Linked DNA regions of Schizosaccharomyces pombe. The protein of the gene in region 1 interacts with the protein of each later gene in a pairwise test. Each region holds a gene or a part of one and is shown in the gene's direction. Other genes may lie near its edges. The genes, in order: ima1, ptp4 and SPOM_SPBC887.17.

Evidence for each region.
Region 2: the proteins of ima1 (region 1) and ptp4 interact in a protein complementation assay, tested with the Schizosaccharomyces pombe proteins (one large-scale study listed by BioGRID).
Region 3: the proteins of ima1 (region 1) and SPOM_SPBC887.17 interact in a protein complementation assay, tested with the Schizosaccharomyces pombe proteins (one large-scale study listed by BioGRID).

What each region holds. Positions count from the first base shown.
Region 1 is NC_003421.2:1,888,958-1,892,714, reverse strand, and holds the start of ima1 (inner nuclear membrane protein Ima1), read left to right. Parts: upstream 1-1,850; 5' UTR 1,851-2,242; coding exon 2,243-3,757. Other genes in the region: SPOM_SPCC737.04 (uncharacterized protein), read right to left, coding at 1-618. UniProt on the Schizosaccharomyces pombe protein: Inner nuclear membrane protein that specifically binds to heterochromatic regions and promotes the tethering of centromeric DNA to the SUN-KASH complex.
Region 2 is NC_003423.3:1,276,784-1,280,402, forward strand, and holds ptp4 (phosphatidate cytidylyltransferase Ptp4), read left to right. Parts: upstream 1-1,561; 5' UTR 1,562-1,574; coding exon 1,575-1,650; intron 1,651-1,687; coding exon 1,688-1,926; intron 1,927-2,248; coding exon 2,249-2,590; 3' UTR 2,591-3,016; downstream 3,017-3,619. Other genes in the region: mitotic spindle checkpoint protein Mad1, read right to left, coding at 1-114, 165-276; ribose-phosphate pyrophosphokinase Prs5, read right to left, coding at 3,119-3,619. UniProt on the Schizosaccharomyces pombe protein: CTP-dependent diacylglycerol kinase that catalyzes the phosphorylation of diacylglycerol (DAG) to phosphatidate (PA). Controls phosphatidate levels at the nuclear envelope. Counteracts the activity of PA phosphatase ned1.
Region 3 is NC_003423.3:3,573,298-3,577,054, forward strand, and holds the start of SPOM_SPBC887.17 (transmembrane transporter), read left to right. Parts: upstream 1-2,145; 5' UTR 2,146-2,734; coding exon 2,735-3,757. Other genes in the region: SPOM_SPBC887.16 (uncharacterized protein), read left to right, coding at 1,624-1,953.

The sequences.
Region 1 (3,757 bases):
GGACACGTAGATGATCATTGCTCTCCATAGGGAGTCCTTCATGTCGTCAGTGTAATAATCGTATAGTAAAACATGTCGAATTAATACTGGCAAGCTATAGTTGCCGGTAGAAAAATGCATCGAAAGGCTTAATCCATCTACTCGATTCTTCTTTAAAAAAGCCCCTAATCGTTTCTGCACCAAAGGCATATCTACTTTGAACTCGTACACCTGTTCCTGCATCGGTGAATATTCAGAAGACACTTGCTCAACACTTTTGAGATATAGTTTATCCTGTCGACGCATAACAATATCCACTAACCCCCCTAAAAACGGATTCTTTATGAGACCTTTATTTCTCCCAGACACTACTACGATACCCAAGCTTTTACCTGTTAAATTCTCGATGGATAGATTACGATCCAACTTGGATAACCAATCCTGACTCGTAACATTAATATTCACATCGCCCGTAGCCTTAGCAGGACTGTTGTACTCGGCTTTGCGAGATTGATAGCCCGGATCCGATTTAAAAAACTGCTGGATTTTCCTTGTAGTCTTTCTCAAGAAAGAGTTTTCCTGACCTTCATCATCAACTTCTCTCAAAATATCCAAACCCGATTGATTAGATATCGACATATTGTCGAATGTCGGTAAAATACTTTGAAACTTTTAAAACTTCGAGAATCGTAGAAAAGAAGAAAAAGGATACCAATATCCAGAATCTCAAAACCACAGTGCGTCCAACTTAAAAATAAAAGGTAATGAAATGAAGTAAAAAAAAAAAATTATTAAAATTTGGTTCTTTCCAAAGGGCTTTGTTTCCTGTTAAATACTAAATATGAAATCGTTTATCTTAGCTTAGCCATTTTGCCATCTTCATCATGCTTTTCCTAACAACGCTCCCCAAGCCACGTAAAACATCAACTTTCGCAACTCGTCCTATTTCAAGTTTACGAAGACATCCAATTTCCTAATCGTCTCTACCCTATAATATTTTGTATAATCATGGTCTAAGCCATTTCATCGTAGCGATGAGCCTCTCGTAAGTTAATTAATGGCGCAGCATATCAATTTTAATCAACTTGTAATAGAATAGAGATGATCATGCTGTCTATTGCTTATAGTTACAAGACTAGATTTCCTTTCTCAACATGCAATAAGGATTGAAAAGTAAAAATGAACTACTTGTATGAAATTTTCGTTTTCGTGCTTAATTCATGATTATGACCTTTTGGAGTCAGTGACATACACCGTTTCCATTGACAGACATTATTGAATTTTTTTTTTACAATGGGGCAACAGTCAATGTTGGCGCAAGCTTAAGATGCAAATGCAATCTTTCATTTAAAAGCGGCTTGTTTCATCAATACATTTGACATTTAACGATGGCTTGTAGGCATTGTTGTAGACATCCACTCAGCCTACATTTTGTCAATACTTTTCTACACAACTTCTCAAACTCGTTCCTTTGTAGCTTAAAAATTAAGCGAACTTAAAAACTATTAAACTTTTTGTTAAACGAATTATTTGCATAAAATACCAAAAAGATTTTTTGTTGACTTTCACCTAACAAATTAAGAGCGGTTGGTTTTATTAAAAAGAAAATTTATTAAGATATTTCTCATTGCATTCCACTTCAATGCGTCGTAGAGCATATCATAAGTAAGGCTCTAAAAATAAGCCACAAACACTGATCGTTCTTCTGGTACAATGGTTCAAATTTTTTTTTTCTAGGAAGCTCGAAAAAGAAAATACAAACAAAAAAAAATTAAACAGCTCATTTCTTCAAAAACTCCTTTTATCCTCAATTTGTTTGAACTTTGTTCTGACAACCCGCTACGAATTGGCTTGGGACCCTGCTGACGGTCGGCCTTTTCCCTATTCTCACCACGAGCACCGTGGGGAAACTGTATAGTCGAAATCTTCGAGTTTTCTTGCTCAACATTTCAAGAAAACTTTTATACTATTCAAGTGTATCTAATTGTTACTTCACTCGTTATTTAGTACTTCTCTTTTACTTTGTCAAGCAGCACAAGTGTTTGATAAAGGTCATTCTGTATAAGGGGTCCTCTGTACCATTACACCTTGTACCTTGATATAAAAGATATTTACATGCATTTTATTTCCGTTAACTCACAGAATATCAGTTGTTTGGTTTTCTTCTTACGTGTGCTGGTTTGACTTGTTGTTTCCCTTTTTTTTTTTAAATTTGCACACACAGGATTCTATGAGAACTTTGCATTAAATGGTATAATGGGAAATGGAATCTAGCCGATTGTTTACACTTGGATTGGGAAATTCCGATGATGGATTGAAATCCACTTTTGGTGATAAAACAGTAACTTGTTTTTATTGCAACAAGAAGAAGGAAAAAATTAGAGACGGAACGTCTACTTGGACTTGCTCAATTTGTGAAGCCACCAACCATATTGATGAGAAAGGTGATATCCTGGATTATCGACCTCCAACCCCAACTCAAGACAAGGGTGTTGGTCCTTTTTACGCGATACGGGATTTCCCAAGCAGTTCTTCCTTTCAGAGCCCCTTTTGTGAAAAATGTCAAATGAACCAACTGATTGTGAATCGGATGCTTGCTGATTATCTGCCAGACTCATCACATCCAGATTATCAGGCTTATGAGAAGGCATTACCAGAGTATAAAAAATCTATAGAAGAGAAATTTCCCATTGTTTGCTCTGAATGCTATGACTCCGTTCAAGACCAACTTGATGCCAATGATTATGAAGCCAAAAATCAGGTTTTAGGATATTGGCTGCAAAAGTCAAAGGAACAGCTAAACGCAAAAGTCCCCCATCACTATCCAAAAGCTTCTTTTGTTCTTTGGTTACTTCGTGGATTTGGTTTTTCGTTTTTCTATTTGCAATCGATTGTGTGGCATTTGTATCATTCTATGATAATAAGCTTATTACCAGATGGTATTCGTAATTTATTTCTAAAAGCAATCTCTTACTTCCTATTAGATGGATCCTCTAGCAAAATTTTTTACTTTAATTGGCTTGGTTTTTTCGTTGTCTTTTGGAACCCGTATTGGTACAAAATGATGGACAATCCATCTTGGGAGCTTTTTGGGCGGGATCAGTATATCCAATGTCAGGCACTTTATCTTATTATCCGTTTAACTTGCTTGTATCTCCTTTCATGTTATGAGTCGGAAATTTTGAACTTAAGCTCGGATACCAATCTTGAAAGTGATTTTTTACTCCGTCAAATACATGCAGCCTTTTTCTTTGTTACCATTTGTTTTACATGGATTAGCATCTCATGTTTAAAGCCAAGTCCTCCTCCAGAAGTTCATTTGACTGGCGAAATTTTGAAACCACGCAAGAAGCGTCAGGAAAGTACATCTTCTGTGCATCGGATAGGAAAGGAATCGAGTGACAGAAAAGATGGAATTAGTGGGCAGAATAAATTGCAGCAATTTGCGACAATTTCAATTCTGAATAATACCAACGCAACGTCTCATTTGGGAAATCAGTCTGTTCGTGAGAGAGCTCCGGAGGAATCCCCTATGACTTTTCTTCAAAAAAAAATGGCCGCCCTTCCAACATCTAGTCCTGTTCGACCGATGCTTAAACCTACTCTTCAGCTTCAAAATTCTCCTTTATCGAAACTGGTTCCTCAAGAAGTGGGCAACAAAGTAAACGATTCTATTCATACGACGTCTAATCAGCCAAGTAAATTTTCCCTGAACCCTTCCATATCTCTAAAAGGTGATAACGTGATAGAGAAGAATTTACCTTTTTCCGTGTCTACT
Region 2 (3,619 bases), on another chromosome or scaffold:
GTTTTCTTTGCAACTCAATTTGTTCACGCTCAAATTCCAGTTCCTTCCGCTTTAAATCATTTTTTAGGTTTTCTAGTTGAAATTCTAAAGAAGCTAGTTTGGGATTTTTTGTTTCTACAGGGTGTCAGATCCATAAACAAACGTCAAATATAAGTTTCACATACCATTAGCAGAATTAACAGAAGGCTTCTTCAAATTTGGTTTCTTAACGCTTGTTGCTAGAAATCTAGGCAACTGTGAACGCGATTGGAACGGATCCCTAGGAGAATCCGCCATGGATGTAGTCGCTTGATACACTGTCAGCTTGGAGCTCATAGTGAGAAATTGATTTTTGGTATACCTCTTTAATATAATATTGACAATATGGAGGACAAATTGCATCTCAGTAATTTATTGAAATCAGGGAATTAAAGAAAGGTAGGACTGACTGCATATGCTCAAACAACATACTTGTTTAATGATATCTAAATTAATGGAACTTATTACTTTTTCTTTTTTTTTAAATCATAGACCTTGTTATTATTATATTATATATTTAATGTGTTGAATTCCTTAATCAATTTTCGATGCACGTGTGAACATAAAAGCTTTTAAGTCTTCTAGTTTTTTTATATTGATATTATTATTATTTATTTAAATTGCTAGACCAAATCGCGTACCCTAAGGAACTTACGTAGTCTTAACATAAATTATAATAGTTTTTTTTTTTTTTTTTTTTTTTTTTTTTAATAAAACTTCAATTTGAACAATTAACCAATAACTGAAAATAAACCTGATTTTGAGCAGACTTATTATTATTAAATAAAAATTATTACTTCTAGTTCATCAACTAAAGAATAATGGTTTTCGCATTTAATTTTCAAAATTGCTTGGCAATGATATAAGCTCTAAAATGGTTTCAGTTTCTTTTAGGAATTTTATTAGCATACATATTCAAGTTATCATTTTACTTTTTAATAGAAACTTTCGCGTACTTGAGAATTGTCTTTATATTTTCAATTAATTCTCCCATATTTGACAACAAAAAGCGAAACGTAAGAGCTCACAATAGCATCTAAAGTTTCGTAAAGTAGCGAAATCCACGTTGCGCTATTCTGAAGGTTCAGTGACTTATAAATGATTCTGCATTGGCTGTATGTCGATGCAGTTATTAATTCTCTTAATATATCATCTAAAGAATATTTACATCTAAAGCCATATAGTGTATAACCCATTCGTTTTGATACTGAGTCATCCTGCGAATCACTTTCAAAGCTATGCTATTCATCTAGGAAGTCGAGCTCTTATATTGGCAGTGATAAATAAATAAATTTTTTCCAACTGATGAAGGAAATAAATCGGTTTCTTTTGGGACTCTCAGGAAGTCATTCATTCTATTAATTTTGACTTTAGCTCATAATGTTTACGGAATAAGGAGGAATAGTGCAACGATAAAAAAATAGTGAGCTATATGCGAGAACATTCCTTGCCTCGCATATACCGATTCCTTGCATCACGGCCGGTATCGCTATTTTTTTTTTACCCATTAGAAATACCTTTAGATTGGAAAACACTACTGAGCGAATACTCATCCAATGTCGACTAAATTGACGTGGTCGCAATGGTCCAAAAAGCATGAAATTCCCCGTAAAGCACTCCATACTTCTATTGGTAAGTTGTTTTTATGACTTGGATTAACCGGGTCTAGGATTTTTTGCTCTATTACTTCAGGGATGTGGATACCACGCTGCTCAAATCATACCGGTTATAGAAATTGGATTCATACCTGCATTTACTGGAGATGTAATTCGTTTTAACTGGCCAGCTTTCAGCCGCCTTTACAATCGCGTTATTGGTCCTTTGATGCGAGAGTCCGAAAAAAATGCATGGAATGGTGTTATTTTTTATATGATCGGGGTATGGATTGTTTTAAAAGTTTTTCCAGAGGTAAGTAAAAGTCATTGTAATGTCTATCATTACTGTTATTATTCTTTAAGAAAAAGGAAGATATGGTTTTCCTTGTTCCAGGCGATCCGAAGGGTTTTGTTTTTTACTGGACATACTACTCTATAGAACCCATTTTTTCACGGAGAATGATTTTCTATTCTAAGTATTTGTCAGACCAAGCATATTGTTGTTGCATAGAGTTTAAGTTAGTATTTTTGATCATGATTACTCAAATCTACTTTGCCTTGCTTGATCTTTTCCTAACTTCACCTTCCTTCTTCTTTTACTTATATATTATGCCATAGTTACTAACTAAGTTCAGGAGATAGCAGTAATGAGTGTCCTTTTACTGTCATGGTGTGACACTACTGCCTCAACCGTTGGTCGAAAATGGGGCAAGTATACCCCGAAAATTGCCAAAAATAAGAGTTTGGCTGGAAGTTTGGGCGCATTCGTTTGTGGTGTTTTTTGTTGCTATGTGTACTGGGGCTTGTTTCGTACCGGTCCTGACAGCTTGGCCGCTCAAAGCAGAATTCCTTTCCCTTGGCTTTGCTTGATAAATGGATTTATTGGTGCCTTTGCAGAAGCTATGGATGTGTGGGGTCTTGACGATAACCTTGTAATTCCTGTCGTTTCTGCCTGTTTACTATATTTAATCATGTGATAACCATGTTCTTTTATACTGACATTCTTTTGTTTTTTCCATTCGTCCTTTCCCGACCACGTTTGAAAAATTATTGAATATAGTTATGTTTTGTTGATTCGCTCCTCCATTTATCACCATTTCTATTGTTCATCTTTTTTCCGTCTAACCAGTATGCGTACATACTGTTAAAATGTATAGAAATACCTACAAGCTTCATTACCCAGACAATTTTAGGCTTTTTGTATGAAACATGACGAAATCGTGCAATTAGACTGCCTATATAGTTTCTACATAGCTTGTACATATATAATGGTCGTGAAGAACCTTATATTTAGCAGTTTTACACTAGAGATTAGCTAAGTTGAAATTAGTTTTAGGAAATTAGCTTGATAATCATTTTGTCAACTCAAAGTAAATAATAATTATTTCCAATGTAACTGTCTAAAGTTAAAGTAAAGAAAAAGGACAATTGATAGTATCAAAAAAAATCGGATAGTCTTAAGCCAACTAGATCAAAACAAATTAAATAATATGAACAACGTACAGTTAAACCCAAACTTGATTGTGGTCATACAGTATTGAAATACTCTCACCATTGTGTATGCGACGAATTGCCTCCGCAAAGGTAGGAGCGACATCGATTATGTCAAAACATCCACTTGGTGTAATAGTTTGAGGAGCGGTGTTTGTAACAATAAGCTTGTCAATGCAAGAAAGTTTTACACGCTCAATAGCATCTCCTGATAAAACACAGTGAGTGACGAGAGCATAGATTTTGCTAGCTCCATGTTCTTTGACAAACTCTGCTGCTCGAACTAGTGTGTAAGCGGTATCAATAAGATCGTCGATGAGGATGGCGACTTTGTTTTGTACATCACCAACAAGCATCAAAGATGTTCCGTATTCATGTCGGCGATTCTTATGAATTAAAGCAAAGTCCAAACCCAGAGCATCAGCAATAGCAGTAGCACGTTTGGCACCACCAGCGTCGGGAGATACAATTACTGCGTTATGATAATTCGGGATATTAAGAGAAATGTAATGTTT
Region 3 (3,757 bases), on another chromosome or scaffold:
ATTGTTAGGGACTAAAAAATGTGGCTACAAGTCGTAGCATTCAACGGAAGCTTTTTGTTACTTTTTACTCCCTTTGATACTGGGATTTTTTTAAACTATCGGAAGGGTTAAAGTTGTACATTCCGCTGAACACAGATAGTAAAAAAAATCGTTTGACAAAAAAAAAAAAATTTGTTTTCCGTTTTTTGTTTGGAATCCGTCTAGGTCGTTAGTAATTTAACAATTTCAGCGAAAGACAGCAATTGAATGGGTTTTAATTTTCGGTACAAAGAGAATTGACTTTTTATGAAGCGACTACGAAGGACACTTGATATTGCTATTTTCAACAAAAAATAACATAATGTCGATAATTAAACTACCACGGCTTGTAAATAGAAAATAGCACTGAAGCGACCTGTGAAATTGTCAGCGTGCTATTGCTAAACAATGATTCCGTGTAATTTTATATGATTGTGCTTTCATAACAGATGTGCATGCGTAGAAAGAAAAGCTATAAACAATCAACATAGAATACCATTCACACTAGGAGTAGCATACCTTAAACTCATAGGATCCAATGAATTAACTTGCAAATCCATTTAATAGTTAGATTGACTGATTTGTACCAAATTGGTAAAATGCCGGTCCCCATCCCCTCTAAAAAAAGGACTCTTTTATTTACCGGGATGCCATTGACATCTCTTCTGTTTTGCATGTTTTGGAATTGAAAATGCAATAATAAAAAGGAATCAATAATTTTGGATTCCTGTCTAATAATTGACGGTTTTGTTATCTTGGTTGAAAAATCCATCCCAGCTGCCTAAAAGCTGCTACAACCTTTGTTTAATTAGTGCGACACAGTTAAAAATACTATATGTTTCGTAATACAGTGGATGATTTCCATTAAACTTTTGACTAGATCAGCAGCGATTTTTAAAGTACATTATACCTTAGCCGGCTAAAAACATATGGATTTGGAAAAACTACTAATGAATGTATTAAGAGTGAACATTACAGTCGGGTGCTTTGCAGTACAAATATCCTGGTAGCTGCATTAAGAAAAAGATATAGTAAAGCTGTTAGTACAAAAAAAAAAGTAGTAAATAATAATATAATAAAATAACGCTTGATAGTCTTTTAAGAATTTCATTTTTCGAATACCGCCTTGTGAATTATGCGTAGTTTACTTGTATCTATATCGTTTCAAATTTTCATACTTCAAGGATTTCCCTAAATGAATTCTTGAATCCCCCACTGAAGTCTTTTTATCCCACTTTAATTTCATACCACAGTTAAAATCATTTGCTAACCTTCTATAGCATATAAACTTATGTACCCCCAGTAAGGTCTTTTTCCCCACTTTAACTTTTAGTATTAGCTGCACCTACCAGCATATGTCCCCCACATGTGTTTTTCTTTTTACTATGAAGGTTCAATAATGGGGGTATTCAAGTCAAAATAATCTTGTATCTGTACCGTCAGAGAAAACTCACCAAACGAACGAGCACAAGTATTAAATCTATAATCACTTACCTTAATGATTTCGTTTACTTTAATTATCTTATAATTGCATGAATTTTGATAAGCGATTGCAAAAACGAACAAATGTGATATAAATATGTTTGTATAGGTGATATCTTAAACATGGCTCGGACCAATTTACAATATCCTTACAAAGTCCTGTGGTGTGCTCAAGTTAAAGTCGTTAAAACGGGTTTAATTAATTTTTTTGCTCCTAGCATTCAGCGTCAACGTGAGAGAGTATGTGAGGGTTATCTACATGAAACCCCCCTGTTACTAATGCAAGTAGTAGAAAGAGAAGCAATAACTTTAGCAAAGACAGAATTCAAAAATAGTTTTAGTAATCTTCATTTTTTCTTTCTTTTTTGGCTGCTTAATTTCATTTTATTTTTCAGAATACATTTGTATTCTTGCAATTTTCGCATGTCGATTATTTGTGAAGAATACTACTAATGTTATCATTGTTACTTTTAAGAATTTTTTATATCTTTGGAGTAGGTTATTGGCAGTGGAATTTTGAGTTTATCTCATTTTTTGAAGTAGCGAAATTGACGCAGTATCTGATAGCACAGCTATTGGCTGTTAAATATAAGCGCCCAAATTTGACTAGTATTTAACAGTCCTTGGGTCCATCAGCGACACTTTGCATTTTTTACAAACTTTTTTCTAAACACCAATTTCTATTTCTTTGCAGTAATAAAGAGGTCCTGGACTGAAAACTCACTGTTGTACTTAATTAGGTGTAGGTTTGCATCCAGTTGATAAGGATTATAAAGTTTTTTCAATCTTCACGTTGAGATCGAGATTCATCGCTTAGCAGAAAATTTTTAGATTAGTGGTAGGTCGAAAAGGTTCTGGATTTTAGAAAACGGCTTTGATCAAACAACTTTAAAGATTAGATTGCTTTTATCTCGATCTTTGTTTACAATTTCATCAAAAGTTTTTTAAATTGCTTTTACTGTTTTTGAGGTTTGGAAGCAAAATCGGTTTCTTTCCTTGTGGGTTTTGGGATTTCTCTAATATTTGTATCTTTAATAAGTAATCTATTTTTGTGAAAAGGGCTTTTTGCTTAGCATTAACACGGATCTTTCCGTTGATTTGTTGTGTTTTATTTATCCTCGGCAGGTTATTTGGATACCTAGTGTAATATATATACATATATTATAAGTATTCTCGTTTTTATTGTTTTAATATTTCAATCCTCTTTTCTTTTTTTCCTTAGTTTATCGAGAAGATGAGCATCACACAAAAAGTAAGGAATTGGGTCGAAGAGTTCGACGTGATCGTCGCTCGTTCGGCATTCGGACGTTGGTTTCGTCTAGAGGGATGTGGTCATCCTCGGGAGCGTAAAGGCAGTCGCTTTTCTCTCGAAATTAGTGCTGGTCTTACTACCTTTTTTGCAATGGCTTACATTTTGGCTGTCAATGCTACCATTCTCGTAGATACGGGCGGCACTTGCGAATGTACTGAAGCTAATCGTGATGATTGTGACAAACTTGATGACTATGTACTTTGCAAAGAAGACTTTCATCGTGATCTCGTCACAGCCACCGCTGCCATTTCTGCTCTCGCTTCTTTCTGCATGGGTCTTTTTGCCAATATGCCCGTGGGTATGGCCCCTGGTATGGGTTTAAATGCTTATTTTGCGTACCAAGTTGTCGGATATAATGGCACTGGACGTGTTTCCTATCGAGAAGCTCTTTTAGCTGTTTTTGTTGAAGGATTCATCTTTACTGGTTTAACTGTTATAGGTCTACGCCAATGGCTGGCGCGAGTTATTCCTGCCTCTTTGAAATTTGCTACTGGTGCTGGTATTGGTTTGTATCTCACAATTATCGGACTCAGTCCAAGTGCTGGGTTAGGAGTCATTGGGCATTCCTCATCTGATATTGTCGCTTTAGGAGGATGCCCTCCAGAATACCTAAACGCTGATTATAGCTGCAACGGTCATCAATTACAATCAGGAAGAATGTGGGTAGGTATATTCTGTGGCGGTGTTCTCACTGCTATTTTAATGATGTACAAATTTAAAGGTGCTGTCCTTGCTGGAATCGCACTTGTCACTATCACAAGTTGGCCTAGACGCTCATTAGTAACTATGTTTCCCCACACGCTTACAGGGGATTATAATTTTGATTTTTTCAAAAAGGTTGTTAGCTTTCGAAAAATTAACCGTATTCTTGTTGCCCAACAGTGGAACGTTACAGGCGGTCAATTTGCCATTGCACTGATTACTTTTCTGTACGTTGACATTATG